Linked DNA regions of Macaca fascicularis. The protein of the gene in region 5 purifies or fractionates together with the protein of the main gene of each other region. This does not show direct contact. Links are inferred from orthologs where the notes say so. Each region holds a gene or a part of one and is shown on either strand. Other genes may lie near its edges.

What was found.
Region 1: the proteins of WDR5 (region 5) and ATN1 purify together in Homo sapiens (affinity purification with mass spectrometry; 4 studies listed by BioGRID and IntAct, counting the BioPlex papers as one, with this or other methods). This does not show direct contact. The link is inferred for Macaca fascicularis from reciprocal best matches to the Homo sapiens genes WDR5 and ATN1.
Region 2: the proteins of WDR5 (region 5) and TAF7 purify together in Homo sapiens (affinity purification with western blotting; 3 studies listed by BioGRID and IntAct, with this or other methods). This does not show direct contact. The link is inferred for Macaca fascicularis from reciprocal best matches to the Homo sapiens genes WDR5 and TAF7.
Region 3: the proteins of WDR5 (region 5) and RUVBL1 purify together in Homo sapiens (affinity purification with mass spectrometry; 3 studies listed by BioGRID and IntAct, with this or other methods). This does not show direct contact. The link is inferred for Macaca fascicularis from reciprocal best matches to the Homo sapiens genes WDR5 and RUVBL1.
Region 4: the proteins of WDR5 (region 5) and KDM6A purify together in Homo sapiens (affinity purification with mass spectrometry; 7 studies listed by BioGRID and IntAct, counting the BioPlex papers as one, with this or other methods). This does not show direct contact. The link is inferred for Macaca fascicularis from reciprocal best matches to the Homo sapiens genes WDR5 and KDM6A.
Region 6: the proteins of WDR5 (region 5) and BOD1L1 purify together in Homo sapiens (affinity purification with mass spectrometry; 4 studies listed by BioGRID and IntAct, counting the BioPlex papers as one, with this or other methods). This does not show direct contact. The link is inferred for Macaca fascicularis from reciprocal best matches to the Homo sapiens genes WDR5 and BOD1L1.
Region 7: the proteins of WDR5 (region 5) and TCP1 purify together in Homo sapiens (affinity purification with mass spectrometry; 3 studies listed by BioGRID and IntAct, with this or other methods). This does not show direct contact. The link is inferred for Macaca fascicularis from reciprocal best matches to the Homo sapiens genes WDR5 and TCP1.

Annotation. Positions count from the first base shown.
Region 1 is NC_088385.1:7,874,157-7,877,342, reverse strand, and holds part of ATN1 (atrophin-1), read right to left. Parts: coding exon 2,363-3,186; intron 2,086-2,362; coding exon 1,863-2,085; intron 1,387-1,862; coding exon 690-1,386; intron 1-689. UniProt on the Homo sapiens protein: Transcriptional corepressor. Recruits NR2E1 to repress transcription. Promotes vascular smooth cell (VSMC) migration and orientation. Corepressor of MTG8 transcriptional repression.
Region 2 is NC_088380.1:147,784,521-147,788,792, reverse strand, and holds TAF7 (transcription initiation factor TFIID subunit 7), read left to right. Parts: upstream 1-1,445; 5' UTR 1,446-2,176; coding exon 2,177-3,226; 3' UTR 3,227-3,732; downstream 3,733-4,272. UniProt on the Homo sapiens protein: The TFIID basal transcription factor complex plays a major role in the initiation of RNA polymerase II (Pol II)-dependent transcription.
Region 3 is NC_088376.1:155,323,087-155,327,359, forward strand, and holds the start of RUVBL1 (ruvB-like 1), read left to right. Parts: upstream 1-1,430; 5' UTR 1,431-1,538; coding exon 1,539-1,679; intron 1,680-4,273. UniProt on the Homo sapiens protein: Possesses single-stranded DNA-stimulated ATPase and ATP-dependent DNA helicase (3' to 5') activity; hexamerization is thought to be critical for ATP hydrolysis and adjacent subunits in the ring-like structure contribute to the ATPase activity.
Region 4 is NC_088395.1:44,930,611-44,935,037, reverse strand, and holds the start of KDM6A (lysine-specific demethylase 6A), read right to left. Parts: upstream 2,843-4,427; 5' UTR 2,496-2,842; coding exon 2,335-2,495; intron 2,124-2,334; coding exon 2,060-2,123; intron 1-2,059. UniProt on the Homo sapiens protein: Histone demethylase that specifically demethylates 'Lys-27' of histone H3, thereby playing a central role in histone code. Demethylates trimethylated and dimethylated but not monomethylated H3 'Lys-27'.
Region 5 is NC_088389.1:5,230,483-5,234,160, forward strand, and holds part of WDR5 (WD repeat-containing protein 5), read right to left. Parts: intron 3,448-3,678; coding exon 3,358-3,447; intron 3,063-3,357; coding exon 2,973-3,062; intron 2,756-2,972; coding exon 2,672-2,755; intron 1-2,671.
Region 6 is NC_088379.1:12,793,679-12,797,980, reverse strand, and holds the start of BOD1L1 (biorientation of chromosomes in cell division protein 1-like 1), read left to right. Parts: upstream 1-1,448; 5' UTR 1,449-1,586; coding exon 1,587-1,823; intron 1,824-2,837; exon of another isoform or gene 2,838-4,302. UniProt on the Homo sapiens protein: Component of the fork protection machinery required to protect stalled/damaged replication forks from uncontrolled DNA2-dependent resection.
Region 7 is NC_088378.1:11,200,696-11,205,166, forward strand, and holds the start of TCP1 (T-complex protein 1 subunit alpha), read left to right. Parts: upstream 1-1,543; 5' UTR 1,544-1,733; coding exon 1,734-1,797; intron 1,798-3,030; coding exon 3,031-3,116; intron 3,117-3,303; coding exon 3,304-3,432; intron 3,433-4,471. Other genes in the region: MRPL18 (large ribosomal subunit protein uL18m), read right to left, coding at 84-270, 572-620. UniProt on the Homo sapiens protein: Component of the chaperonin-containing T-complex (TRiC), a molecular chaperone complex that assists the folding of actin, tubulin and other proteins upon ATP hydrolysis.

The DNA.
Region 1 (3,186 bases), on a different chromosome or scaffold from region 5:
GAGAAAAGGAGAAAATGGCAAAAAATAAGAGTTAAATCCAGAGAAATCAGAAAATAGGTTTGTGGATTGGGCAGGGTGGCTCACGTCTGTAATCTCAGGACTTTGGGAGGCCAAGGTGAGTGGACTGCTTTGAACTCAGGAATTTGAGACCAGCCTGGCCAATATGGCAAAACCCCATCTTTACCAAAACTACAAAAATTAGCCAGGTATGGTGACACACGCCTATAATCCCAGCTACTCTGGAGACTGAGGTAGGAGGATTACTTGAGCCCAGGAAGTTGAGGCTGCAGTGAGCTGTGACTGCACCACTACACTCCAGGCTGGGTGGCAGAGCGAGACTATGTCTCAAAAAAATAAATAAGAAGATATGTTTGTGAAGGGCTTGGGAGAATGGGGCTGTGAGGATAGAAAGGTGTGTCCTTCAAAGGCTCCCACCTGGGCCTGTCATGGGTAGGATACTAGACTATGGAGAGGACTGGGGTGTGGGGAATACAGGCTCTGTGGCCAGGCAAGGCCATGAGGAGACAAGGCTGAGAGAACGTCAGGGAGGCAAAGTTGAGGGCAGCAATCTCAGGAAAAGTTCATGCCAGGCCAGGGGAGGAAAGTCTCAGCCAGAAGAACAAAAGAGCCCAGTCATGATGGGGGAAGGTGGCCCCAAAGGGCCAGGGAGAGGAAGGAGGGGGTCTCACCTGCATGGATAGCATCTTGCTGGTGCAGGTGCAGGTGCGAGTGGATGTGGGAGTGCTGGTGGTGATGGGGAGTCACATTGAGCATCTGCAGCCGGGCCAGCGGGTCATTGCCCAGGGCCGCCACCCTTTCTGCGTGCTGCCTCTCAGCTGCCAGCCGCTCAGCATAGGACATGTCAGGCCGCAGGGCTGGCCCAGCTGCCAGTGCTAGACGTTCTCGATCCAGGGGCCCCAGGCTCGGATGAAAGGGGAAAGGGTGCAGGCCAGGTGGGCCAGGCTGCAGAGCCAGGCCCCCATGTCGGGGAAAGGGATCCAAGCCCGGCCCAGGGACCCCATGTAGGGGTTCCAGCTCACTAGGCTTCACCTCGAAGCCAGGCTTGAGGCGGTCACGGAGGTCTCGTTCACGGGCTTCCCGTTCCCTCTCCCGGGCAGCAGGATCACTGCTGTACAGGGCCGGGACATTGTAACCCAGGAGCCCCGGGTCCACTGCCCCCAGGGGCACGTAGAATGGATGGTTGCGATTGCCAGGAGACATGACATGAGGCCGGGCATATTCACTGAGAGTGCGCAAGGCTGGAGTGTCAGGACCCAGGTAGGGGGGCACTGTAGCCACCGCACTGCCCGGTTCAAATGGAGGGCGATGGGGCACTGGGCCCAGAGATGGGCATTCCACCGGAGCACGGCCCTCCTGAGCCAACTTCTGTGGGGTACAGGGAAAAGTGGAGTCAAAGCGGCAGTTATGAGAAGAGGTGGCTGGTTTCAAGCTGCCCATTTGTTTCCACAGCTGAATGCCAAAATGCCTCACCTCACTGAAACTCTGCCCACCTGGAACTTAACTGCGACCCCCCCCCCGAATATCTGCCCTTCTTGGGATCCACAGGTAGTCCCATCTGAGCAGGCCTTCTCCCAACCCAGGAATGCAGACTGCTGTCGCTGAAATCCTTTTTGGCTCCATTTCCTGGGCTGCAGTGGTACCTCCCCTCCGACAGGTGGCGACTTGATTCGCCCGCCCACCTAGCACAAGCCCCAGCCCCAGCCCCAGCCCCAGCCCCAGCCCCAGCCCCAAGCCCAGCCCCAAGCCCAGCCCCAGCCCCAGCCCCAGCCCCAGCCCCAGCCCCGCAGCGCGGCTAAGAGAGGAGGCAAAGAAGGCGGTGGCGCAGGCAGTGACGCACTCACCACGCTGCGTTCAAGCTCGCGCTCCTTCTCGCGCTCGCGCTCCTTCTCGCGTTCCCGCTCGCGCTCCCGCTCCTTTTCTTCGCGCGCGCGCTGCTCCGCCTCGCGCCGCACCTTCTCCACCAGGTCGGCCCGCTTCTTGGCCAGTTTGGAGCCCTCCAGTGGCACGAAGTACAGGTCGCTGCGCGCGCACGAGTTGAAGCCGCGATCCAGGTGTTTGTTGAACCTGCCAAGCGTGGAAGCAGCACGCGCTCAGCCGGTGCGAGATGCCGGATGGAGCCCGCGGAGCCGCGACCCCGGCGAGTGCTTGTAGCCCCCGCCTAAAAACCACCCCTGCAGGCTGAGCTGCTGCCGGCCTCACTGGCCGCTAGGCATGGACGGAGGAGAGGGGCGTGCTTTTCTAAAACACTACACCAGCACAGGGCCCCTCCCTGCTACTCCCTCTCCGTCGCCGCCTTGTCGTCCCCCTTCCAGGCCCACCTCCGCCCCACCTGGCCGCTCACCTGGCAGACTGACTGGCATGGCTGGGCACATCTACCACCTTGGGAGGGGGCGAGGGGCTGCGGGCTGGCGGAACTGGGCTCTCGGGGGTCTCATACTCCTCAGCCGGCTCCTGCTTGATCTGCGTGGCGCTCAGGGGCGGCCCTGAGGCAGGGGCCGCGGGTGGTGGTGGCAGAGATGGCAGGCCTGAGGGCCCCGCAGGTGGCAGGGGCCCAGGTCCCACGGTGGGCGAGCCCGGCTTGAAGGTCCCTGGGCCTGCAGGTGGCGAGGTTCCTCTATAGCCCGGTGGGGTCCCCGTTCGGAAGTTGGGAGGAGACCCGGGCTTGTATCCGGGTGGGGTGGCTGCCTTGTAGGCCCCCGGGGACGGGGCTCTCTTTCCGTACGGTGGGGGCCCAGGTGGGGAGGCCGTTTTGTAGCCTGCTGGCGAGGAAGCCACGGTGGCAATGACCGTGGAAAGGGTAGCCGAAGAGGTGGTGACCGTAGGCACCGGTGGGAAAGGGTAGGGCGTCCCCTGAGGTCCCTGGGAGGGGGAGGGGTGTGAACATGGGAAGGACGCTTGAGAAGTGGAAGAGGAAGAGTTGGAAGAGGAAGAGACTGGAGGGCCATTGGGGCCTGCTTGGCTGTAGGACACCTGGCTGTGAGGTGGGGGCAGGTGTGTTGGCCCTGGTGGGTAGGGCCTCAGAGACCCCAGGGAGGGAGACATGGCATAAGGGTGTGCGTGGTGGGAGCTGCCGCCCTCCAGGGGGTGGGGAAATGCTCCAGGAGGGGGCCCAGAGCTTCCGTGATGCTGCTGCTGCTGCTGCTGCTGCTGTTGCTGGTGGTGATG
Region 2 (4,272 bases), on a different chromosome or scaffold from region 5:
TTTTTCATTCAATTAGCAAATATTTTTTGTGTATCTCCCATGTTCTGGTACTAGGCACTGGGACACAATGACCAGGATAGAAAAAGATCACTATCATGGAGCTTTCAATCATACAGGAATAAAGTGAATTTTGGAAATGTTAATTACATCTTAAGAGAATTCTCTTAAATTTAGGGGCAATTGGTAATATTTTAGAGGATAGAAATTAAATGTTAATGGCCTTGATGCTCTACCAGATATTTTAAAAATAAATGGAAATAAATAGAAATAAGTACCAACTGTTACCCAGTTATGTCAAAATACTAAAAATATGTGTTGATGAATACCTGACCCTCCAAAGAAAAGACAAGCACAAAACAGCAAAATAGTAGAGGTGGAGTTAAAAAAAAAGTCAAAGTATTTAAAATTACTTGTACATGAGAAGCAGGAAACAATACTTCAATTATGTCTACTTTAACCAGATGCTCAGTCTATCAGACAATTCTGTCCAAAATGAACCTGTGCTTGCAGAAGAACACTTCCTTCTCTGCTTACATTTACATCTAAATCAAGCATATAAAAAGGAATCACCCTTGTTTCCTCAGGAGTATTACAGAACAGAAGGAAACCCAGAGGCACAATTCCCCTACAGGGAATTATATTAAACAAAATATAGACTTTGGGCCAGGCACGGTGGCTCACACCTATAATCCCAGTACTTTGGGAGGCCAAGACAGGCAAATCACCTCAGGTCAGGAGTTGGAGACCAGCCTGGCCAACATGGTGAAACCCCTTCTCTACTAAAAATACCAAACTTAGCTGGGGTAGTGGAAGGTGCCTGTAATCCCAGCTACTCAAGAGGCTGAGGCAGGAGAATCGCTTGAACCCTGGAGGTGCAGATTGCAGTGAGCCAATATTGTGCCACTACACTCAAGCCTGGGTGACAGCCTAGACTCCATTTCCAAAACAAACAAACAAACAAACAAAGAGAGGTTTAGAATTATATAGTGAGCTCCATGTCCTCCTCACTCCACTGATTTGGGTTCTTTAAAATCCATTGTATAGTAGCTACACATTCTTGTATTGGCACCAGATTGGCTAGACCCTAGGAAGCATCCGAGATGTTTCCAGAAGCAAAGACGCTTACTGCCAGGCGTCCCCCATCTCCCGGAATCACCCGGAAGTCTAGAAGCCATCCGGCCCCACAGCGATCCCTTAAAAGTGCTGGCTTAGCGGGGGACGAATCCGTGTCTTTCTTGTAACTTCCAAGCGCTAAATAGTTTGAAACCAACAGCTCTTCGAAAACACTATCATTTTCATCCTAGAAAAGCAAGTTCTCGCGAAAAGACGAGTTTCACGCTGGGCAGCGTAATTGCGCTATTGCGCCTGCGCGCGCCGGGGCTCCGCCCTTCCGGCCGGAGGGGCTGTCACTCACATCCACCTCCCGCCCCGCGTCGTGACGTAGCACTTCCGTTTTCTCTGGGCAAGCGGTCGAACGGAGGGCCGGCGAGGTGCCGGGTCTGGTTCTCCGAGCTGCGCCTCTCGGCAAGATTTCGCGTTGCCCATCCTGGGCTTTCATCAGTAATCGATAGTGGATCACTCTGCCAAGCGGCAGGAAGAATTAAGGAAACGACAAGGAGACGCTTGGCTGCCTCCCGCTTTGCTCCTTGCGGCCTCCTCTTCCCTTCGCTCCGGCCCGGTGAAACTGAACTTATAATCGTCACTGGATTGTAAGTACCCGAGGCGAAGAGAGCTCACTGAGCCCTGATGTTTTGAGTGTCTGTTCCGGGAGAGTTTGTAAATTGAGAGTATCTCTGCTGGCCTTTCTGGGCCGAAAACCGTTCCGCGGGAGCCGCCATTTGCTTTCCTGCTTCCTAGCTAGGTAGCTGTCTCCGCGTTGTCGGGCAGCGGCACCTAGAGGTTGGGACTTGGCATTGCATCTGATTTAATGAACTTAAGTCTGTGAATAAGCCTTTGTGTTAACGACTGGTATTTGGTCACAGCATATTTAGAGAAAAGACTTGGAGCTTAAATAAAAACGAAGGCAAAATAGACGCTAAGCTGCTGATCTACAGAGAACTTCTTGTAATTAAAATATTTCAATTCATAGCGAACTGGTGTTTTAAATTATTGCAGTAGCTGGAACTTTTTACGGTAACCATCATTTATTGGAGAAGTGAGTCACAAAGAAATAAAAATGAGTAAAAGCAAAGATGATGCTCCTCACGAACTGGAGAGCCAGTTTATCTTACGTCTGCCTCCAGAATATGCCTCTACTGTGAGAAGAGCAGTACAGTCTGGTCATGTCAACCTCAAGGACAGACTGACAATTGAGTTACATCCTGATGGGCGTCATGGAATCGTCAGAGTGGACCGTGTTCCATTGGCCTCAAAATTGGTAGACCTGCCCTGTGTTATGGAAAGCTTGAAAACCATTGATAAGAAAACCTTTTACAAGACAGCTGATATCTGTCAGATGCTTGTATCCACAGTTGATGGTGATCTCTATCCACCTGTGGAGGAGCCAGTTGCTAGCACTGATCCTAAAGCAAGCAAGAAAAAGGATAAGGACAAAGAGAAAAAGTTTATCTGGAACCACGGAATTACTCTGCCTCTGAAGAATGTCAGGAAGAGAAGGTTCCGGAAGACAGCAAAGAAGAAATATATTGAATCTCCAGATGTGGAAAAAGAAGTGAAACGATTGCTGAGTACAGATGCTGAAGCTGTTAGTACTCGGTGGGAAATAATTGCTGAAGATGAAACAAAGGAGGCAGAAAATCAAGGCCTGGATATCTCTTCTCCAGGAATGTCTGGTCACAGGCAGGGCCATGACTCATTAGAACATGATGAGCTTCGGGAGATATTCAATGACCTCAGCAGCAGCAGTGAGGATGAAGATGAGACCCAGCATCAAGATGAAGAAGATATAAACATCATTGACACTGAGGAAGATCTGGAGAGACAACTACAGGACAAGCTAAATGAATCAGATGAACAGCACCAGGAAAATGAGGGAACCAATCAGCTGGTTATGGGAATTCAGAAGCAGATTGACAACATGAAAGGCAAGCTCCAAGAGACCCAGGACAGGGCAAAACGACAAGAGGATCTCATCATGAAAGTGGAAAATCTGGCTCTCAAGAACAGATTTCAGGCTGTACTGGATGAGCTCAAACAAAAGGAAGACCGAGAAAAGGAGCAACTCAGCTCTTTGCAAGAAGAGCTAGAATCACTCCTAGAGAAGTAAAAAGAACTGATTCTTAATTTCAGTGTTCAGACTGATCAGCATTAGAAAATTCTTGGCTTTATTACTTGTACTGGATATTAACACCTTGCACTTCCTAGTCCCTCTAATGCTGTGTGTTCTGTTAAGTTCTTTCATTTGTTTATAGTTTTGTTTTTCAGCAAATTTACATTGTTTTGCTAGGTGTTCATCCTATAAGAAGCAGGATTGTATAGGCAGAAAAATGATAGTAGGAAAGTTGCAGGATTAGTGGAATGTATGGTTCAACCTTAATTATAGCTCCACTGCAGGACTTTGCTGTTTCTCCATTTTCTAGAAGCTGCTGTTGCTGCCTTATGATGACATGAGATCAATAAGAAGAACCTAGTCTAGAGACAGTGATGCTAGTTTGCATATGTTTTCCCATGCAATAGCTGTTTTCCCAGTTACTCAAAGCAGTTTCCCATATGTAGAGATGCAAATTTTATTAAGTTGTTTACAATACAATAAATAAAAGCATCTGTTTTTCACTTTGTAGTGTATCTTGTTCTTTCATGGTTGGTGGGAGTCAGGTCCCTTTTGAGGTGGTTTTGTGGTGGAGTTTAGTGACTAAGAAATTTGATCCAGTTCTGCAGGTAGAGGCAGTTTGGTTTATGAAAAAAAGCAACACAGCAGGGGTAAAGAAATTGGGAATTGTCATGTTTGCATCATATTAAGATTCCAGTTCTATCTGATCTACTTGAAAGCTGGGAAACATTAGATACAGAGCTTTCTTAAACTACCCTAATTTTTGTAGATGAAGGCCTTCGTGCCTTTTTTAAAAAGCTTACTAAATCTACCTGCACAAAATGTTGGAAACAAAGCAGTGGTTATCAAGTGCAGTCCAATGAATCATTCCATTGGTTTGGATTAAGATTTTATTTCTATTTTTCTTCAGTTGAGTTCTTATAATTAATAATCTGAGAACTGAGGTCATTTATCAATGTCATTTCATCAAAATTGCTCATAAAGTAAGTCGGTACCAAATTTCTCATGCTTTAAAGATAATCTAATGCCTCACAACATGAGCT
Region 3 (4,273 bases), on a different chromosome or scaffold from region 5:
CTGATAAATTCAAGTGTATGTGTTTGTGTGTGGTCTAGAACATTAATTGAATTCATGAGAAGCCTTAATTGTGAGTTGTGTTTTAGGCTGTGTGCCAGGCACTTAGGTTAAAATGGTAAACAATCAAATGTGGTCTACACCCTCAAAAGGCCTGCAGTTTACTGGGAGAGACAAACATTGACCCAGTAATTATGCAAATCACTAGAAGCCTAGATTCAAAAGAAAAGAAAAAAAATATAGAAACCTAGATTCAAAACTTAGAATCAAGATGTACAAGGAAGTGTGATTTCAGGTCTGTCTCAATTCTAATATAAACTCTCCTGCACTCTGGGCAAGTCCTTCCCTTCCTCTGGATGTTAGTATCTTCTTCTGTAAAAATGGTGTCATACCATTTGCTTCTGAGGAAATCTCGCCCATTTGTCAGAATTCAGCCAAGGCAACATCACCTTCATGGTGCTTTCCCTGGCTCTCCAGGCTGTTCCTGGGGCTTCTGCTCTGGTCTTCTTGCCACCTGGGTGTACCTGTCTCACCACATCTCATGTTACAAGTTTTCTAAGCAAGGAGTAAGCTCATCAAGACTTTTATCCCTGTATCCCCAGTGCATTGTGGTGTCTGGCTCGTGTTTGTTAAATGGATGGATGGATGGATGGATGGCAAGTACAATTGTGGTGCAGGTTGTGCGAATATCATTATGAAACCTGAAGGGACAATTTGCTGGCTGATTGTCTCAGCTGAAATAATGGGACAGTATGAGCATTATTATATAGGTTTTGAAGCCTGAAGATTTCTAGTTCTGATTCTTTGTGGTGCTTTCTTGGGCGGATGGGCCTCTTTCTGCTTGTCTGTAGCTGCATTCGTAATTACACTACCTTACAGGGCTGTAGAGTTTTGAAAACTGCAAAATGTTATTTACAGTCAACTGAACTGAACTTAGCAGGAACCTTATCTCTCGGCGGAGGATGGAGATTAGAAGCAGGGGAAGACAATTCCACGGAAGGAGTGGTGGGTTGCGCTGGGCCTTTCCAGACGAGATGCAAAGGTCTGGGAGTCAGAAAACATTGGTTAGTAACCAATTGCAGTTTAAGCTCTGAACCTCAGTTCTTCTATTTCCAAAACGGAAATAATAACTTGAGCTTCGCGTAAGAGTATGACGTTCAAACGTGATAATGGATAGGACGGAAGGATTAGGAGTGGTACCCGGGGGCCACTACCTCGTGCAACGCCCCAGCCCGAAATCAAATCCGGGGCGTGGTCCCACTGTGCTACCGACCCCAGCCTGGGCAGGAAGCGCCGGCTGCGGGGGAAGCCAACCCAGAGACACAGCCGGAAGTGAGTGACTGGAGCTCCAGCAGCAGCCGCGATGGGCGCAGCCGTGAGCCTATGGAGAGCGGAGGCGTTCCCGCTTCCACCAATGGAAGGCCAACCTAGGCGGGCCTTTGCAAATTGCCCTAGTAACGGCCGCATGGTAACTCGGGCGCTGGGCGCACTGTCCTATCTGCTGGTTTTCCACGCTGGTTTTAGCTCCCGGCGTCCGCAAAATGAAAATTGAGGAGGTGAAGAGCACCACGAAAACGCAGCGCATCGCTTCCCACAGCCACGTGAAAGGGCTGGGGCTGGACGAGAGCGGCTTGGCCAAGCAGGCGGCCTCAGGGCTCGTGGGCCAGGAGAACGCGCGAGAGGTGTGGCCAGCGGACCAGGGAGTTGGGGGCTCCGAGCAGGGCTGCTGCGGCGAGAGAGCTGCTGAAGTCGGTGGCTCGGGTCGGGATGCGCGCGCCAGGGGTCTCCCGCCATAGTTGCCTCAGGGAAGTGAAAATAGGCCAGGGGCTCGGGGAGGGGCGCCGCCCTGGAGCTGGGTGAGGGGCCGCCCCAGGAAAACTAGTGACCACCCACTGGGGCCAGTTGACGGTTTGCTTCAACTCATGGACAAGTACTAATGGAAACCCACACAACCCCGTCCCCTTAATCCATGCTGAGCTCTATTCGCGACACTTATTTCCCGGGATACAGCGGGAGATAAGATAGGAGGTTACATTTTAGTGTAGTGAGAGACGATAAACGTGTACATCAATAAACAAAAATGATTATCTTGGTGGGGTTAGTTACTGCAGAACTTTGTCGGCCACGGTAAGGAAATTGGATTTTATTGTGAACGCACTGGCAGGCCGTGGGACGGTTTAAAGTAGGGAATTGACTAAACTTTAAAAGCTCGTTTTGGTTCCCAGGACCCGGGAGCTGAGGGAGAGAAGTGGGAATTAGGGAGAAGAGCAATCTGGTTTATTTATCCCTCCAAGCATCCTTTTTGACCATTCCAATTAAATCTCCTTTTTCTGAGTGCTAGTGATGCCAAGTACTTTCACATACATTATTGGTTTTTGGCAGGTGAAAATATTGAGTTGGGGAGAGGGCACTTCACCATATACTTGACACTCGTTTTAGTAATGGTAAAGCGGGGATTTGCGCTCACATGTATTTCTGACTCCCAAATCAGTGCTCTATGATGACATAGCCACTCTCTCTGCCTGCTGTTGTCTGAGGTCACAGCCATGCCCCTTGGCCTTTGCAGAGCCTTAGCTTGTACAAAAATCTTCACTTAATACAAAGTTAAGCTACTGCCTCTTAGCCTGATTTTTCTAAATAGAAAGGGCTCAAAAGAAAAACCTCGGGTTTCCATTTTGAGCATCATCTTTCCAAAAAGGAAGTGTTTGACCCTGTCTTACTAAGCAGCTATTACTGCAAGTAGCTAACATTGGTTGAGTGCTTTCCATGTGCCAAGCACTGTGCTAAGTAGCTGTGTGTCCATTGCCTTGTCATATCCAACGAATTAGTTGTCCCTTCCCTGCGTTAGTATGACAGTTTTCAGACATACAAAAAAAGTTGAAAGACTTGTATAGTAAGTACCTGTGTACCTAAATTCTATGATTAACATTTTACTATGCTGCTTTATCATATATCTTTCCATGTGTGCCTCTCCCAATCCACTTTTACATTTCAAGGTGAATTGCAGGCATCACTACACTTCACCCCTACACCCTTTAACATGTGTGCCATTGACTAGTATGAACTCTGTTCAAGTGAGGAAATTCTGGTTCATAGAGGTCAAGTAAGTAGGTCCAAGGTTACTCATCTGGTAAGTGGGAGAGTATTTTAACTCAAGTCTATGTATTTAATCCCAGAGTCCATGCTCTTAACTGATGTTGTATGCTTAAGACCCACCTCAGCTACCAGGTTCTTGTGTGATTCTGGTCACATCAGTAACCTGAAAAATGAGAGTTAGACTAGGTGATCATTTAAAGACCCTTCCAATTCTTTTTAAATGTTAGAATTCAAGCTTATCTCACCTGAGAGAAGTTGGAGTGGAAACTGAGGGAGAATAGATGGAAGAGGTCCTGGTCTGTAAATAAAAGCACATATCCAAGGTTTGTAAAGTCTCTTCTACCTTGAGTTTTCCAAAGAGCTTCAGTGCTGAGGATTATATGACAAGGTTGTATGGAAAGATCATAGTAGGTTTTTTTGTTTTTGTTTTTGTTTTTGTTTGAGATGAAGTTTCGCTCTTGTTGCCCAGGCTGGAGTGCAATGGTGCGATCTCGGCTCACTGCCACCTCTGCCTCCCGGGTTCAAGTGATTCTCCTGCTTCAGCCTCGTGAGTAGCCATGATTACAGGCGCCCACCACCATGCTCGGCTAATTTTTGTATATTTAGTAGAGACAGGGTTTCACCTTGTTGACCAGGCTGGTCTTGAACTCCTGACCTCAGGTGATCCACCCGCCTCGGCCTCCAAAAGTGCTGGGATTACAGGCATGAGCCACCGCGCCTGGCTAGGCTTTTTATCTGTTTAGAAATATAGCATCTGGGCTGGGCGCAGTGGCTCACACCTGTAATCCCAGCACTTTGGGAGGCCAAGGCAAGTGGATCACCTGAGGTCAGGAGTTCGAGACCAGCCTGGCCATCATAACAAAATCCTGTCTCTACTAAAAATACAAAAATTAGCCAGGTATGGTGGCATGTGCCTGTAGTCTGAGCTACTCGTGAGGCTGAGGCAGGAGACTCACTTGATCCTGGGAGGCGGAGGTTGCAGTGAGCTGAGATTGCGCCATTGCACTGCAGCCTGGGTGACAGTGAGACTCCATCTGAAAAAGTAGCATCTGAAGAATATCTTCTAGGTTCTATTAAGGGCAGTGTGCTTTGGTAACTGAAGTGGAAATGGGATGGATATAGCATACACACACATATTCCTTACTTTTCTTTTTTTTTTTTTTGAGAGGGAGCTTTACTC
Region 4 (4,427 bases), on a different chromosome or scaffold from region 5:
TCACTAGTTTTTCTTTTTTAGCATGCATTCAAACATCAAGTAATGCACAACTTGCCAAAAATATTTGAAAATGGTTATTTTTTAAAATTTAAACTCGTTAGTGCATAATAACTGCAGAGTTTAATATTACAATCTGAAATCCAATGTTAAGCACTATTCACCGTGAATCTATCTGAATATGAGCATTCTAAGACATAAAATCAACTAGCATTTTACACATTCTCAACATAAAACATCGGATTCCATTTATTTTTTCATCACCATAAGCAAAAGCAATCGATTTGGCCAAACTTTTCCAAGTCAATTATCTTTGCAAGCAATTTTATCAATCCATGTTAGACCAGCAATAATCCCTCCAAAACAAAATAATGCTCTTTGAATTTAAATCATGTTTAATCTTTTGTAATGACAACTTTGACAGCAGTCAAATATTTTTAAATAAAATACTTTAAATACTCAAATTGGGAAAAAAAACTTTTAAGGCAGGAGACCAACAATTACTGACGCTTAAATCTTTCCAGAGCTAGTCACTGTTCATTTTTACAACAATAATTGCAATGAAGCCAATTAATACCTATGTAGTCAAAGTTTAATTCAAGTTTTCTGTATCGGTCAAAGGGGCCGGGCTTACTGAAAAGCATTATTTCCATTTAGTTTTCTGATCATTATATGCAATAAAACTCCTTATAATTACTTGGAAATAAAAACAAATTTGTAATTACAGATAAAAAAGAATTGATGACTCTGCTAAACCAAGCTACAGACAAAAATTCAGAACAACAAAAAAATCAACTTAAGAATAAAATGTTGGACTTACTTCAAACTTCCGTCTCAACTGTAACAATAAAGCTAGGTGTCAAATGCAAAGCTATGATTTCAGCTAGAAAAGAAAATGTCTAACGGATGCAACACCCATAGCACACACTCCAACTTTCACGGTCCCAATTACGAAGAAAGTATTCAAATATCATTGCAATCAGATTTTGGTCAGGAAATATAAATTGATGCCTAGAGACTGAGACTCCAGCCTTTGTTCAATAGCTTAAGGATGGGTAACTAAATGTGCTACAGGTTGATAAGCATTTACCAGGCTTATGCATGCTGCTTCCAAGCTTGTGAAAGGTACAAGAATTCTATATGCAAATAATCTTGGGTAATTTTTTTTTAAACACCACTGAGCTACACACTCCGAAGGAAAGGCTTATTCACGGCTACTATTTATTTCCATGTTTACCTCTACTCCCTCCCCCAAACCCCCCCCCCTTCACTTTCTCCTCCCACCCTGTCCCGCCATCTTGGGCCGATAGGAGCAGCCATTACTTAACTAAATGACAGTGCCAACAACTTTCCACACAAATAAACAGAGACTACACCCCGATTCCTCCCCAGTCTCCCCTGTCAGACACGCAGGAAATGAGGCTCCAGGAAGAGAACACATTTACAAATAACTACGGTATTTCTATGCCAAAAAGACCCAAAAAGTAAACAAGTCACCTAACTTCAGGTAACACACATTGCGATCGAGATACATGTCAACAGCCCAATGCAAACTCTTCACCGACCTAAACTCCGTGAAACTTCCCCCTTCTGGGAGCGGGGACACAAGAAAGCCTAAAACATTTGGTTAGCAGTAGGCATCACGAACAGCCTGCTTGAAGGAAAAGAATTTCTTTAAACCCGTGAGAGGCAAGTGAAGTCCGGAATTGGGGGAAATCTGAACACATTCACGATCCCTTGACTCTAAACATGCACGTCGAAGATCATCGGCCTATCCCCAAAAAGCTGTAAAATAGCAGGCAGTTTTGTCGACCCAGTTGAGCCCGGCCCCAAAGCGATCCCGTCTCTGTTCCTCCAGCTACAAGAGGAAAAGAGCAATTTAGCAAGGGAGCAAGCTGGGTACCCGTGGGTGGGGGGAGAGCAGAGGCAGGAAATAGTTTTCCGGAAGCCCCTCGACCATCGTCCGCGGCCACAATGAGCGCAGACCCGGCCGCGGGGCCCGGGGCGAGCGCGGCGCCGGCCGGGGAGACGGTGTCCGCGCTCCGACTCGCAGCTGCCTTACCTTGCCCAGTAGGGCCTTCGTCCTGGCGCCATCTTCATGAAACCTCACGAACCCGAAGAGGCGGCTGTGGGGAGAGACACAGGCTACTCGTTAACGCTCCGGGAACGCCACCGACCCGTCCCTGCCCGAGCCCGAGGCCCCGGCGGAGGCGGCGCGAAGAGCGCCAAACCGAGGTGCCCGCCCCGCCGCCGCCAGAGACAAGCCGCGCTCGGGCCTCCCGGGAGAGCGGCTACTGCCCGTCCGGAGCCGACCGGGCGAGTGACGGCGGCCCGTACCTGTCCAGTCCGCCGAGCGCCTCCCTCTCCTCGGCTGTCAGGCTGGGGGACGCCTCCTCGCTCTCGCCGCTCGCTTTTCCCGCCGCCATTTTCTTTTCCTCATCACCGAAAGCGGCGGCGGCAGCGGCGGCGGTAGCGAGCGACACTCCGCAGGATTTCATGGAAACGCAGCGAATTCACAACTCCAACGCCGACACCCCCCCTCGGACCGGGGCCCGCAATGACGCCCCCAATCTGCGCGCGGGACCAGCACACCAACTTTATCGCCGCCTCCTCCTCCGCCGCGGGCGGCGGCGACGAAAAATCCCAACGCGGCGGCGGTGAAGGCGGCGGCGGCAGGGGCTGCGAAGCCCCCGGGTCGGCAGCGGCGGCTTTCGGCTGTAGGGTCACATCGCGGGGTTGGGCAAGGGGCAGCCACGGGCGGGGACGGCGGGAACGGCCGGAGCGCGCAGGGCTGGGGAGCACTGGGGGGATTCGTTGGAGACACAAACTTCCCCGGCACCAGCACAAAGTTGTTGTAATTGTGTCACACAGCGAACCCCACGCCGCCGCCGTGACCCCCCCTCCCCGCCCGACTGGCGCCACCAATCGGCGCGGCCCGCACGACTCACGTGACCTTTGTTGACTCACGTCAGCCGTGGCTCCACTTAACTTGCTAGCTGCCCGAGCCCCGCCCACCGAGGCCGCCACCGAGAGGGGAGCGGGACGCAGGCCAATTCTGGCCGGTGGTTGGCTGCTGGGCGCGTCTGTCGGGGGAAGGGTTGTCACCGAGAGGGAGCTTCCTGTTAGGTTGTGCTGGTTAAATACACTGGGGCAGAGAATGGAGGGTCCGGGCCGTGTCACCTCGGGAACCACGGCAGGCTTTGGAGGGGGAGGGGAGTGGTGGGGAAGGGCGAGGTCCGGCAGCGCCCGCGGCGGGCGCGAGCGGCGGGCGAAGATGCCAAGGACGGCCTTTGCCTGCCTGGGAGCTCTGGGATGTGCCCAGACCGCGGCTCCGGCCGTCCCGCGCGCGCTCCAGGGGTCCCGGGACCCCACAGGGCCTGGTACAGGTCGCGTAGCCGGGAGGCGGTACACGGCCCTCTACCTCTGCCCTCCGAAGAAGGCTCAGACTTTGGCACTGCTGGAAATAATGGCCTCCGCGAGGAGTGCGCTTGGGGAGCGGCTGCCGGCCCGGTGCCCCGCGGTCCGGGTGCCGCCCTAGGCCAGACCTACGCTGGCAGCCCCGACCACCTCACCCGCGCCGAAAGTGAAGGGGGAAAGGCTCCCCTGACCCCCGCCCATACGCCCCAGGCCGGAGGGAATGAAGAGTCGCCCGCGGGGCCTGGCTTGCCGACCGTGGCTCCCCACCGCCAAAGGTCTGTCTGTTGGCGGCACTTTGGGGCCAGATTTTCGTGCTGTGTTTACCCTGTGTCTTATCAGTAGTTCATTACAGTCTTACAAGAAAAAGCAATGAGAAATTGTTAAGCGGGATCTGCAGAATGTTGGGTTCTATTGCCGTGATTTCAGTGGAGCCTTCTTACAAAAGTAGGGACTGCTTGTGGACAGACCTGAGAGAAGACATAATTAAATCCTCATCACAGCTGGTGGCCCAGGAAAGCCTTTCTATCCCCCAAAACCTGCAGGTTTGTAACCCCTAGACAACAGTAACACTTTGTTCTGTCTCTCAGGTGCAGGGGAAAGGCTGTAGTCTGGCTTTTAATCTTTAGTATAAGTGGAAAAAAAAAAAGAAAACAGGCCTTTCGACTACTCTTCTCAAAAGGCAAATTTATTTACTAAGCTGTATGTCATAACAGGGATAGGAAAAAATTAATGGACATGTAAAGACGATTCTCTTTATAAACGGAGTCTTGTATATTTTCAATAGGTTTTCCACCTGTAACCAATAAAAATGATATATTTAAACTTGGATTTCAAAATATGACAAAGACAATTCAGTGCTGACCCAGTAATTCCTACCAGTATTCAGCGGGAAGCTACGGGAATCCCAACTGATTTTGCACAGTTTTAAATTGTTCCCCTGAGACTAGTAACTAGACGAACAAACTGTAGTTTTGTATAGATTATAGTTCATGTTTAATTACTTCCTCTGAAAC
Region 5 (3,678 bases):
ACACGGTGGCTCCCGCCTGTAATCCTAGCACTTTGGGAGGACCAGGCGGGTGGATCACTTGAGGTCAGGAGATCGAGACCAGCCTGGCCAACATGGTGAAACCCTGTCTCTACTAAAGATACAAAAATTGCCGGGCGCGGTGGCTCAAGCCTGTAATCCCAGCACTTTGGGAGGCCGAGACGGGTGGATCACGAGGTCAGGAGATCGAGACCATCCTGGCGAACACGGTGAAACCCCGTCTCTACTAAAAAATACAAAAAACTAGTCGGGAGAGATGGCGGGCGCCTGTAGTCCCAGTTACTTGGGAGGCTGAGGCAGGAGAACGGCGTAAACCCGGGAGGCGGAGCTTGCAGTGAGCTGAGATCCGGCCACTGCACTCCAGCCCGGGCGACAGAGCGAGACTCCGTCTCAAAAAAAAAAAAAAACAAAAACAAAAATTAGTCAGTCGTGGTAGTGGGCACCTGTAATCCTAGCTATTTGGGAGGCTGAGGCAGGAGAATCACTTGAACCCAGGAGGCAGAGGTTGCGGTGAGCCAAGATCGCACCACTGCACTCCAGCCTGGGCAACAGAGTGAGACTCCATCTCAAAAAAAAAAAAAAAGAAAAAACAAAGCCCCCACAAACCTCTCTGCAGTGGAGACGGCTACAGAGCAGCAGCTGTGGTGCAGTACCAGTTACTTAAAGGACAGCAGTGAGCTACGCTGGAAAAGACGCACCTAAAACAGCAAAGTAGAAGACCACAGAGGGACCGACTCCACCTCCCAGCAGCTGACCCCAGGGGTGACTCAGGGAATTCATTTTCTACTTCCTACATTTGCTCACCTTTGTAGTTTTTTTTTTTTTTTAAGACATGGGGTCCCACTCTGTCACCCAGGCTGGAGTGCAGTGGTACCATCTTGCTCACCAGAGCCTCAAACTCCTGAGCCCAAGCAATCCTCCCACCCTGTCCTCCCAAGTAGCTGGGACCACACGTGCACACCACCACGTCTGGCTAATTTTTTGCTTTTTGTATAGAGACAGGGTCTCACTCTGTTGTCCAGGCTGGTCTCAAACCCCTGGTCTCACGGGATCCTCCTGCCTCAGCCACCCAAAGTGCTGGAATTACAGGTGGGAGCCATGGCACCCAACCTGTTTTTGTTTTTGTCTTTTTATGAGCAAACTACTTTCGTAGGAAAAAGACTTTTAAAATCCTGCCTATCACCTGCGAGTCCCACCTGCACTATCTTTGGCCTCTAGGATGCTCATGGAATTCTTTCTTCCAACTCAAAGGCCACCAGCGAACCCCTTTCTCAGGTTACTTCACAAGTGTTCATTTGTCAGCCCAGTCTGAAAGTCAGTTCTGCTGACTGTGACCCAAGGTGCCCTGAAGGGCAGGGGACTGGCACCAAGGGGCTGGGCCCACGAGCACACAGCCACAAGCACAGGGCCACATGATGACATTCCCACAGCAAACAGCCTCCCTGCAGCGGTGACACTGGGCCTGCGAGGGCCTTGTGGCCCGGTTATGTGCGGGGCTCAGACACCGCACCCCGCCCTGGCCTGACACACTACCCATCCAGCCAGTACCAGGGCTTCGCCTGCCATCTCACTCGGGCAAAGCCTTGCAAGGGTAAAAATGCTTAAACCCATTCACCACCAAGACAACAGAAAATGAATGCCACACTGGCGGGCAGCATGGCACAAACGCTGCATCCACCTTTCCTTCCGCTTCTCAACGAAGGGCAGGCTTCGCCGAGAAACTGCCTCATGCACTTTGTTAACAGAAGAACCTTCTGGCCACTCTGAAATGGAGCGGTTTGTGATACTGCATACACTTTAACTCTCGGCCATTTGTTCTTGTTTTCTTCTTTTTAGACGGAGTTTCGCTCTTGTTGCCCAGGCTGGAGTGCAGTGGCACGATCTCGGCTCACTGCAACCTCTGCCTCCCAGGTTCAAGCGAGTCTCCTGCCTCAGTCTCCCCAGGAGCTGGGATTACAGGCGCTCACTACCACGCCCAGTTAATTTTCATAGTTTTAGTAGAGACGGGGTTTCACCATGTCGGTCGGGCTGGTCTCAAACTTCTGACCTCAAGTGATCCACCCACCTCGGCCTCCTAAAGTGCTAAGATTACAGGTGTGAGCCACCATGCTCGGCCTCTCGGTCATTTGTTGTGCACAGTGGTACAGCAACAGCAGAATGGCAGGATGTGTTCCTTTGCAAAGCCTGTTCTCCAGAGAGCTCCAGCTTCCAACTGTTCCCACCAGGACTGGGCCATCCCCGCCCAGAGCTAACTCCACTCAAAACTCACACTTCACCTACACTCCCACTCCCAGCACCCTTCTCAGCCTGGCCGCCCTTCCTGTCCCATGCATCAGTTCAGGGTACACTACCCTCTGAACGCCTGTGGCCACTGCCCACCCCTCATCCAGCCTGCACGAAAGGCCCCTTGGTGCTCACCACAGGGCACCCCACTGACACCTCACCACCCCCTTGCCATCCCTCTACTGCACACAGGACTCATCTCTCAGGTCCCAGCCTCCAACCTGAATGCTCTAGACTGTGGCATGACAGCAGGAATCAGATAGGCACAGGCAACGTCCAGGCTTACGCCCCTCGGGGAGACAGCTGGCCACATCCAGCATCAGAGGCACGTAGTGCCGGACACCACCCCGTCTGTGTCAGCAGGACTTACGGCCGAGACTGGATCCGAGTGAGCTGGCAAAGTCTTGAGGCACTTCCCTGTTTTCACATCCCATATCCTCACACTTTCATCAAACTGAACACAAAAGAAGAAATGACAGTGATTCTACAGGAAGGAGAAGGAGCAAACCTCCCCAGAACCCAAGACCTGCCACCAGTCCATCCTCCCCACAAACAGCACAGAAAGGACTCGGGCCCCACCTGCCTTCTCCACAGTGGCTACAAGCAAGTTCAACAGCCTTCCCAACATCCAACACCACCTCCCCCAGGGAAGACACCCCGGCCACACTCACGGATCCTGAGACAATAAGGTTGGACTGGGGATTGAAGTTACAGCAAAAGACATAATTACTGTGTCCCTTCAGGGTTTTCAAACACTTCCCCTAAAACAAGAGTATTAGTAGTATTACTCCAGTGCTTATTTCCCCAAACATAAGTGTCGGATCACATTCATCAATGCCTGACAGCTCAGAGCATGCCTGATGCCCCGCCAGCAACTGGCTGTTCCCCGAAGTCAACTCGACCTCCCCCACCTGCCCCCGCCCCATGCCCCTGCAGCCAGTCTTCCCTGGAGAGGAGCACTGAGTGCTGCTTACCGAGCAGTCAACCCAGTCCCCACCACCCGCCCTGTGCCCCGCTGCCGGTCTCCCCTGGAGAGGAGCGCTGAGTGTTGCTTACCGAGCTCACGTCCCATATCTTCAAGGTTTTGTCATCTGAGGCGGAAACAAGAAGGTTAGAATCTGACGACCAGGCTACATCGGATATTCCCTTGGGGAGAAAAAACAGGGTCAGTAACTTGCCAGGACAAAGTAGGACCGGTTAGCAAAAGGTCAAAATCCCAAACATCCCCATTGCCCTCAGGAAATCTTCTCACTAGCCTTAACCTTACAAAAGACACGCGGCCCTGGAGGAAAACAGCAGGCTTTCCGCAGCTCTGCCAGCCTCACAGACACTCCTCCGTGGGAAGTCAAATGTATTTGCGTTAAAAGTTCAAGATGC
Region 6 (4,302 bases), on a different chromosome or scaffold from region 5:
AAATAAATCTTATCCAAAACTATTTATGAAATGAACAATGTTTAGATATTCTCCACTCTTTCAGCATATCGGGTGAAAGGTACATCTCATTGAAAAAATCAGGTCGAATTCATAGTCATTTGGTATCTTGGTAAAACCTATCTGGTATATTTCCCAGAATCTGAAAAAGTGAAAAAATAAGGATTAAGTAAACAAATCCTTTGGCGAGTCAGGTGGTTTTCGGTTCTTTGCTTCTGATAAAAAGGAAGGAGGGCCTAATTGAAGTCAGCTCATATTTTTTGAAGTCAACCAATTTTTTGAGGTCAAGAATTGAATGATATTGCTACAACAAAACTCTTCCATTCCTAGGCACAGTACTTGTTTATATTAGCAAGGTTTCTCAGGGCACACAGCTATAAAAATTACAAATAGGAATAGAATTGATGCTCAACCTTTTTTCTCCTACTAATAAGACATATTCAGCCACAGATGTAGGAACTCTTAAAAACAGCAATATGCATTTTTCAATAAAATTACATATACTATTTAATAATTATGAAATTTTCTAATATTTATGTTGCTTTGACCAGGTACTACTAACAATTTCAAGGATGATGCAGTCCTAAAGCAGGTGATTTGCTAGCTGTGTAACCTTATTCAACACACTTCATTTATCCGGGCCTTGGTTCCCTGATTTGCAAATTGGGGATAGTAATCGGACCTAGCTCTTAGTGTTTGTCCAAAGATTAAATGAGTTAATACATGTAAAAGCACTTAACGCCACGCTTGGTACGTAATATGTGCTATGGATGTTTTACCGGCTATAATCATAGTAATCAATAGCAAAAAGCCTAAAACCAAAAGCCTGTCGGTTTGTCTTCACACATAGGAAGAAGGGGCTGGAGGGATCCGGACTAATCCACAGGCACACTGCCAGAAACAAGGGACTCCCAAGGGAAAACGGGATGTGCAAGCAGAAGAGAGACAGAAGGACCGTGGAGCTACCTGCTGGGACAAGAATAGTGCAATTTCACAGGCTAAGAACGACGAGGGTTGGGCGAGTTTAGAATGAGCAGATCCACGTAGGGTTCGAATTATACATGTCTATGGATCTCTATGCACTGCTCCGGGAAACAGGAGCAAGAGAGGCAGGCCTAAAATGCCGTCGCGGATGAAGCGGGGCCAGAACTTCACTGCTCCCGCTCAGACCGAGGGCCCCAGGTGTCGCGCGGGTCGAAGCCCTAACCTCCGGGGACTCCAGACCCCAGCCAGTGACCCAAACCCCACAACTCGCGGCCAGCACAGCCTTCTCGTCTCCGTCGCCACAGTCGCCGCCACTTCCGGCGCACCTCGGCCTCGCGAGGGCGCTCGCGCCCGGCGACGGCCGAAACTGGCTCCTCGCGGCCTCCGTCGCCGGACTTTCGTCAATGTCGTCACCGTCTTTTCCTCCTTTCCCCCCGTTCCCTTTTACTTCCGGGGTTGCTCTGGATCCTCTGGTTCCGTAACAACATCCCGTTGGCTTCTCTCAGGCGGCGGGACCAGTGCAGCCGCCGCCTCCCAGGTGCGCCCGCCGGTCAGGGCCCTTGCCCTCCCCGGCACAGGCCGCCATGGCCACCAACCCACAGCCGCAGCCGCCTCCTCCAGCGCCGCCGCCTCCCCCGCCGCAGCCGCAGCCACCGCCGCCGCCGCCGGGCCCCGGGGCTGGCCCCGGCGCGGGCGGGGCGGGCGGCGCGGGTGCGGGCGCCGGGGACCCGCAGCTCGTGGCCATGATCGTGAACCACCTCAAGAGCCAAGGGCTCTTCGACCAGTTCCGCAGAGACTGCCTGGCCGACGTGGACACCAAGGTTCGGAGCCGCCGGGTTTGGGGGTCTGCGAGGGAAGGGGAGGACCCAAGGGCGCGCTTCTTTTGCAGTGGCTTCCTCTTGGAGCTGCAGCTGTGTGCCACACGCTGTGTAAAGCACAGCGTGTTCATTCGTTAGCATGTCCATTGGTTCGTTTTACCGACTAGTGTTTAAGTGCCTACTACGTGCCAGTCACGGTTTCGGCGCAGTGATTACGCCGGTCTGGTGAGCAAGACTAAGGCATTGTTCTTACAGGAACTGGTTTGGAAATAGTAGCGCTAACAGTGGCTAGTTTTGTATTCATTCTCATATCTGATGATTTTACTTTGTATCGAAGTTATGTTTGCCTTCTTTCTTGAAGGTTTCTGGGCGGTAAGGGCCATGAACCTTTATCCTTTGGAGAAATCACAAAATGGTAATTGAATCAAGTTATATGCAATATGCTTTGCTGGACATCGTGGGGCTGGGAGCGCCAAGATAAGGAGGCAAACCTGAGACAGGACTTTAGTATGGTTTCTAGCAGTGACTACCTGATTTAGGTAACTTAGGCCATGTCACCATTCTAAGGTAAGAAGGGACAGGAAGGTGGGGTAGAGAGAACCGAGTCATGCAGTGGAGAAAAGATGCAGGAGAGGTGACAGCAGATACTGAAGTGGAGAAAGGACAGGAAAGAGCAGATTCAGGAGAGTAATGTAGAGAAGGGAAAGGTCAGCAACGAGGTTCCCTGTCCAAAACGAGGGGCTGGAAAGGGGAAGGGATTTTGTACCAAATGTCAGAGTGAAAGGGAAATTAGCAGGAACAAGTAAACTTAGCTGGATTGGCAAAGAATTAGCCAAAGACACCAGGAAAGGGCAGTCAGTGAGGTGGTGGGAAAACCACAGTAGAGTCTAGATTTCTGGAAGCAGAAAGCATGTTGGAAAATTAACTGGTTTGCAGGGGTTGCTTTTGTCTGCTTGTTAAATCTGGTTGGGTCCATTGGATAGGAGTTTTGATGAAATGAGGGTTTCCTTTTTTTTTCTTTTTTCTTTCTTTTTTTTTTTTGAGACGGAGTCTCGTTCTGTCGCCAGACTGGAATGCAGTGGCGCGATCTCGGCTCACTGCAACCTCCGCCTCCCGGGTTCAAGCGACTCTCCTGTCTCAGCCTCCCAAGTAGCTGGGATTACAAGCGTGCGCCACCACGCCCCACTAATTTTTGTATTTTCAGTAGAAATGAGGTTTCACCATGTTGGCCAGGATGGTCTCCATCTCCTGACCTCGTGATTCGCCCAATAGGCGTGAGCCACCGCGCCGGCCGAGGGTTTTCTCATAGTATGTTTAGTTGTTGTGAGGAGCCTTGTTTCTTTGAGAAATGCATGTTTACAACATCCGCAGATTCTTCTAAATCTTTCAGGTAAACTACACACAGTTCCACTATCTCTTCTGGGGAAACTCTCTTGAATATCCTGGTACATCTTTCTTTATAAGGACTCATACTGGGCCCACTGTGTAAAATGTGTTTTTTCAGGATATTGGAGGTTTTGCACCACAGAGAATTCAATTCACTTGGGAGTGTTCATCTATTTAGAAAGTATGGTTTTTTTACTTTTGTCTTCAGGAATATGCACTACTACCTTTTAGAAATAATGCCTATTGCCTTTATTATTTTTGTTATTTAGTGGGAAAAGGTTAGACATGGCCAGGTAAATGTTACCAAATAAAGGTAGTTATTCGTATTCAACAAATAGAATTTTTACTTTGCTGTTCTCGGAAACCCATGAATCTGTGTGTTATCATTATGTATACAAATTAAAAATTGTAATGTACTGCTGCAATGTCTAAGGCTCAACTTTTTTATTATCCTATTCCCACAAAATGTTATTGGTATGTGTCTATAATATCCCTGCCAGATCCTTCAAAGTAAAGGATTAAAACCGTTTTTGGAGGGAAGGAGGGAAGCACAGTAGCGCTGATCATCTAATGAAAGTTAGGACCTTCTCTCGAGAAAAATGCACAAATAACACATTAAAACGCTGTTTTTCTGCTTGAAAATGGTCAGCTATAGACAATTTCATGAGAATCAATCTAATAATGTATACAGTTTCAGGGATCTCAGGAACCATGGAATAAGAACCCATTTTAATGTTCTTAGCCTCTTTTTTGAGGTCAAGAAATGAATGATATTGTTACAACAAAGCTCTTCCATTCCCAGACACAGTACTTGTTTATATGAACAAGTTTTCTCAGGGCACATGACTATAACAATTAGAAATAGGAATAGAATTGATGATCAACCCTGCTTCTAGTAATAAGACATATTCAGCCACAGATGTAGGAACTTTAAAAAGCGGTGGCTAATGCCTGTAATCCCAACACTTTGGGAGGCTGAGGCGGGCAGATCATTTGAGGTCAGGAGTTCAAGGCCAGCCTGACCAAAATGGTGAAACCCCATCTCTACTAAAAATACAAAAAAAAATTAGCCATGTGTGGTGGCGGGCACCTATAA
Region 7 (4,471 bases), on a different chromosome or scaffold from region 5:
GGAGACAGCCTGGCGTTGAACGAATTAAAATCGTCCGTAGGGTGCAGTGTCCTTCTCTGTCAATCACAAGCAGATTTAATTACCTGTGCCAGAACTCACGGGAGGGCCACACCGTCCGCCAGCCCCGCTCTTTCCTGGCTACAGATAGAAGCTCCAGGTTCCGGGGGTTCCGATTGGTGAACTCTGGGGCGACAGCTTCATTTTCCACAGGGTGCACTTCAGGCTTCGCCGCCGGCTTGGAGCTGGTTGAGAGGGCTGCGAACCTGCACCCTGGGCAACGGAAACAACCGCACGGGGCTTAAAAATGACGGATACGGACAGCGCACGAACTCGCTCTAACGTCTATCCCCTTTCACACCCCCAGTCTTCAGGCCCAGGGGACGAAAAATACGTGTGCCCACAGGGTGGAATCAGCACTGACCCCGTCCTTAACTTCCTACTGAGGTGTTCGCAGTGCTGCGAACTCTTATTTCGACCTGGCACGTCGAATATACCAATAGAATCCGCACGTTCCAAAGTACTGTGCAGACCCTGGCCAATCAGCTGGGCGAAGGGGGCCAAGACTAATTACCAGGGTTCCTGCAAACGGAGAACCCCCAGAACCGCGACCGAAGCGCCATCGCTGAGACGATCTCGGAAAAGCCTTGCCTCTTTTTCCTCACGCACGACTCACTCGCTCGCCTGCCGCAATCATACGAAGTCAGAGCCTTTGGTTGCTGTAGATCCCCAAACTCTCCACGCCAGACGCCCCCGACCCGGAAGTAGAAAGTCCTCCGCCACTGAGTGGCCAGGAGGAGGCTCTGTTATCCGACAACGCCAATCACCGCTCACGTGGAGGGGCACGCAGGCCCTGGAACCCACCAATCACCTCGTGGCTACGCCCACGACCACGCTTTTTGCTGAAGTCCAGGGTCAAAAGCACCCACAACTTCACCTAACCGTATTTGAGTTGTCTACTAAGAGATCTTGGGCGGTCATTGACTGGTCCATACACACCCCTACTGGGCACCGCGTAGAAATGAGGCAGGGCACGGTGCAGTTTTCGCTTTAAAAAGGGTAGTTGTCTTCCTCGAACCAAAAATTTTCCCGTATGGCCCGCTGGAAAAACTGCCCCGTCCCACCCAGGTTCGCGCCCCTAAACTTATACTCCTGAGGCCTGGAGCAAAGCCGGCCGATTTGCCTTACGCTCCCCGAGCAGGGACGAGGAAAAGACATTAAAGCTAAAACGCAAGACTCGCTCAGAACCTCAATTCTACCTTGGAGAAGGGCCCGCCCCTCCAGTTACACCCCAGCTCCAAGCTCCACCCGCCTACAACCTTTCTAGAAGGCACTAGAATGGCCCACTGCGTCTGCGCAAGGTTGTTTGCACCGAAGGTTCCGCCTCTTTCCAGCAGTCCAAGATCCGACTTCCGTTCTCCGCTTTCGCGCCCTTCCCATCGGCTATCTAATTGGATAAAAATGCTGATCCCGCCCCTTCCCTAGAGCCTCACTTCCGGCACGCTCCCGTTTCTCTTCCTGTTGCCCCCGCCTCTTTTTCCTTCCCGCCGTGCCCCGCGGCCGGGCCGGGGCAGCCGGGAAGCGGGTAGGGCGGTGTTACCCAGCAGCTCCTGGGGCATCGCTCGGGTACCCTCCACGCCGTCGCAGCCACTGCTGTGGTCGCCGGTCAGCCGAGGGACCGCGATACTGGTTGCCCGCGTTGTGAGCAGAATTCAACGTGTATCGCTGCCGCGAAGATGGAGGGGCCTTTGTCCGTGTTCGGTGACCGCAGCACTGGGGAAGCGATCCGCTCCCAGAACGGTAAGGGAGGGCCGGGCCTGGGTCGGGCTGGCGGGCTGGGAGGGCCGAGTCCCATCGCGACCGGACCCCGGCTGACCGCTTCGTGCCTCTTCTCCTTTACCTCTGCAGAAAGGGCCTCGAGGCCCCGCAGCCGGACCCGGCCCACCCGCCGTTCTCTGGGGCAGGGCGCTGTCGACCCCTCTCCCCACAGCGGGGAGGAGCCCCGGAGCGCGCAGCAGGTTTTGAGACCGGCACCGCGTGGATGTGGTGTCCGGGGCGGCGCTGGAAACGCGCCCCTCCGCGGGCCTCCCGGACTTGCACGTGCGGGCCACGCCTCGCATCCTCTTTTGTTTCAGGGCGGCCCCTTGAGCGTCCATGTTAAACGCCGGGTTTCGTTTCAGGACCATTTACCAGAAAAAGTAGGTTCATCCGCGCCCCTGCGGATGAGCCCGGTGCCCTTTCCGCCCGTAGCTGCAGTCGGGGTCGGGCGCCCGGCGTCCGGCTCTCTCTCAGTTGATAGCATCTTAAAGTAGAGTTAGCACAGGAAACGCCACTGGAGTGCAGTTGACCCCGGGAGACGGCAGCGCCAACTTAGCAGAGCGTTTGCTGTCGGGCCTTTGTATACCTACAGAGCGCACTGTTTTTTGATAGATTCGTAATTTTTTTTCGTAAACAAATCAAAGTACCTTCCCCGTTGGCTACCGATTTCTCTCCTCACAGATAAAAAGGGTTCTAATGAGCAAAAAACTTGCAGGATCTGAAGGAAAAGGCATAGCTGTACGAAGTGGCAGAACATGAAATTGTGGTTATTACTTTTTTTCTCCCGCCATCAGATTCCACCCCCTCATCAAAGCTGTGCCAAATAGGCTCGCTTTATTTAGGGACAGGGTCCCACTTGTCGCCCAGACGGGAGTGCCAGCATAGCTCACTGCAGTCTCCAAGCACAGGCCCGCGCCACCACATCGGCTTTGTTTTTATTTTTTGTAGAAATGGGTTTCGCTGTGTTGCCCAAGGGGGTCTCGAACTCCTGGCATCAAGCTGTCCTGCCTCAGCATCTCAGTGTTGGGATTACAGTTGTGAGCCACAGTGTCCGCCCCATTTAGGTTCCTAGTAGGTGGTTTTTAAATAACGCAGATTTGTACATTTGGGAAATACAGGGGCTGTTGGATGTCATTTACCTTTAGGCTGAAATTACTGTCTTTCAGAGTTGTGGATTCTTATTTCTTTTTTATTTGTGTTTTTAATTGTCTACAGTTATGGCTGCAGCTTCGATTGCCAATATTGTAAAAAGTTCTCTTGGTCCTGTTGGCTTGGATAAAATGCTGGTGGATGATATCGGTGTAAGTACACGTTAACTGTTGTGTTAGTTGCCTTAAAGTAAAACTATTTTCAGTGTTTTGCTGTGTTCATTCTTTGATTTTATCAGAATCCAGGTACTGGAAGGTGATATTAAAGGTGGATGTGTATTATAATGGGGCTGTGTTGATTTCTATGAGTGGTTCATATTTTTTCCTGCTAATTTCTTAGGATGTGACCATTACTAACGATGGTGCAACCATCCTCAAGTTACTGGAAGTTGAACATCCTGCAGCTAAAGTTCTTTGTGAGCTGGCTGATCTGCAAGACAAAGAAGTTGGAGATGGAACTACATCAGTGGTAGGTAGACTGGCTAAAGAATGATCATTTTTCTAAAAACAACCGACTTTCAGAAAGTTGAAGCCATAAGTGGGTCATTTGTGCTGGGTCAGAAATAAGTTACATATTCTGAATGCCCAGATGATTGAGCAAAGAGAAAAAACAAAAGAAGTTACACATTTAAGAGGGAAAATAAGCTTCTTAGGTACAGATTCAGAAACACAATTTGTAAGTTGGTAGTTATAGCTTGTTTGTACAGTTTAAGTAGGAAAGAATTTGAGTTCATTTAACATAGCCCCATTGTTTTAAATGTTGGTATTCACAAGTTTTGAGGGCTTATTTTTCCCTTTATGGCAGTGTTCAGACATCACACAGATTTTTTTATGGTCTCTCAAAAAATCTTGTTTCCTCCCGCATCACCCCTTGAGACTTGGAAAGCTCTAAAGTATAATTATTTAAAGAACAAAATGTTACCAGTTTGGGGGAGAAACAATGTTTTTGTGTTATTTTTTTAAGAGACCATGTGTAGCACAGGCTGAAGTGCTGCAGTGCTGTCATATCTCACTGCAGCCTGGAACACCTGGGCTCAAGTAATCCTCCCGCCTTAGCCTCCCAGAGTGCTTGGGATTGCCGGCATATGCCACCACAACCAAATAATTAAAAATCTTTTTTTTTTCTTTTCTTTTTTTTCGGTAGAGACAGGGTCTCACTATGTTGCCCAGGCTGGTCTTGAGCTCCTGGCCTCACGTGATCCTCCCGGCCTCATGTGATCCTCCCTTCTCAGCCTCTGTAGTGCTGGGATTACAAGCATGAGCTGCTGCACTAAGCCTGTTTTATTTTTTAAATCCTGACAGGTAATCTCAGGAATTCAAAATAGGAGTGTGAGAAATTAATAAATACATCATGATAGGACAGTGTGATCTTTTCGAGTCAGTAAACGTGATATACAGTATAAACTTCATAGATCATCCAGCATGCTGGTATAGTAGAAACACTTGTTTGGTGAGAAAGATGTTAATTCTGGAGAAACGAGAAAGTTTGTGGGGAATATGTATTTCTA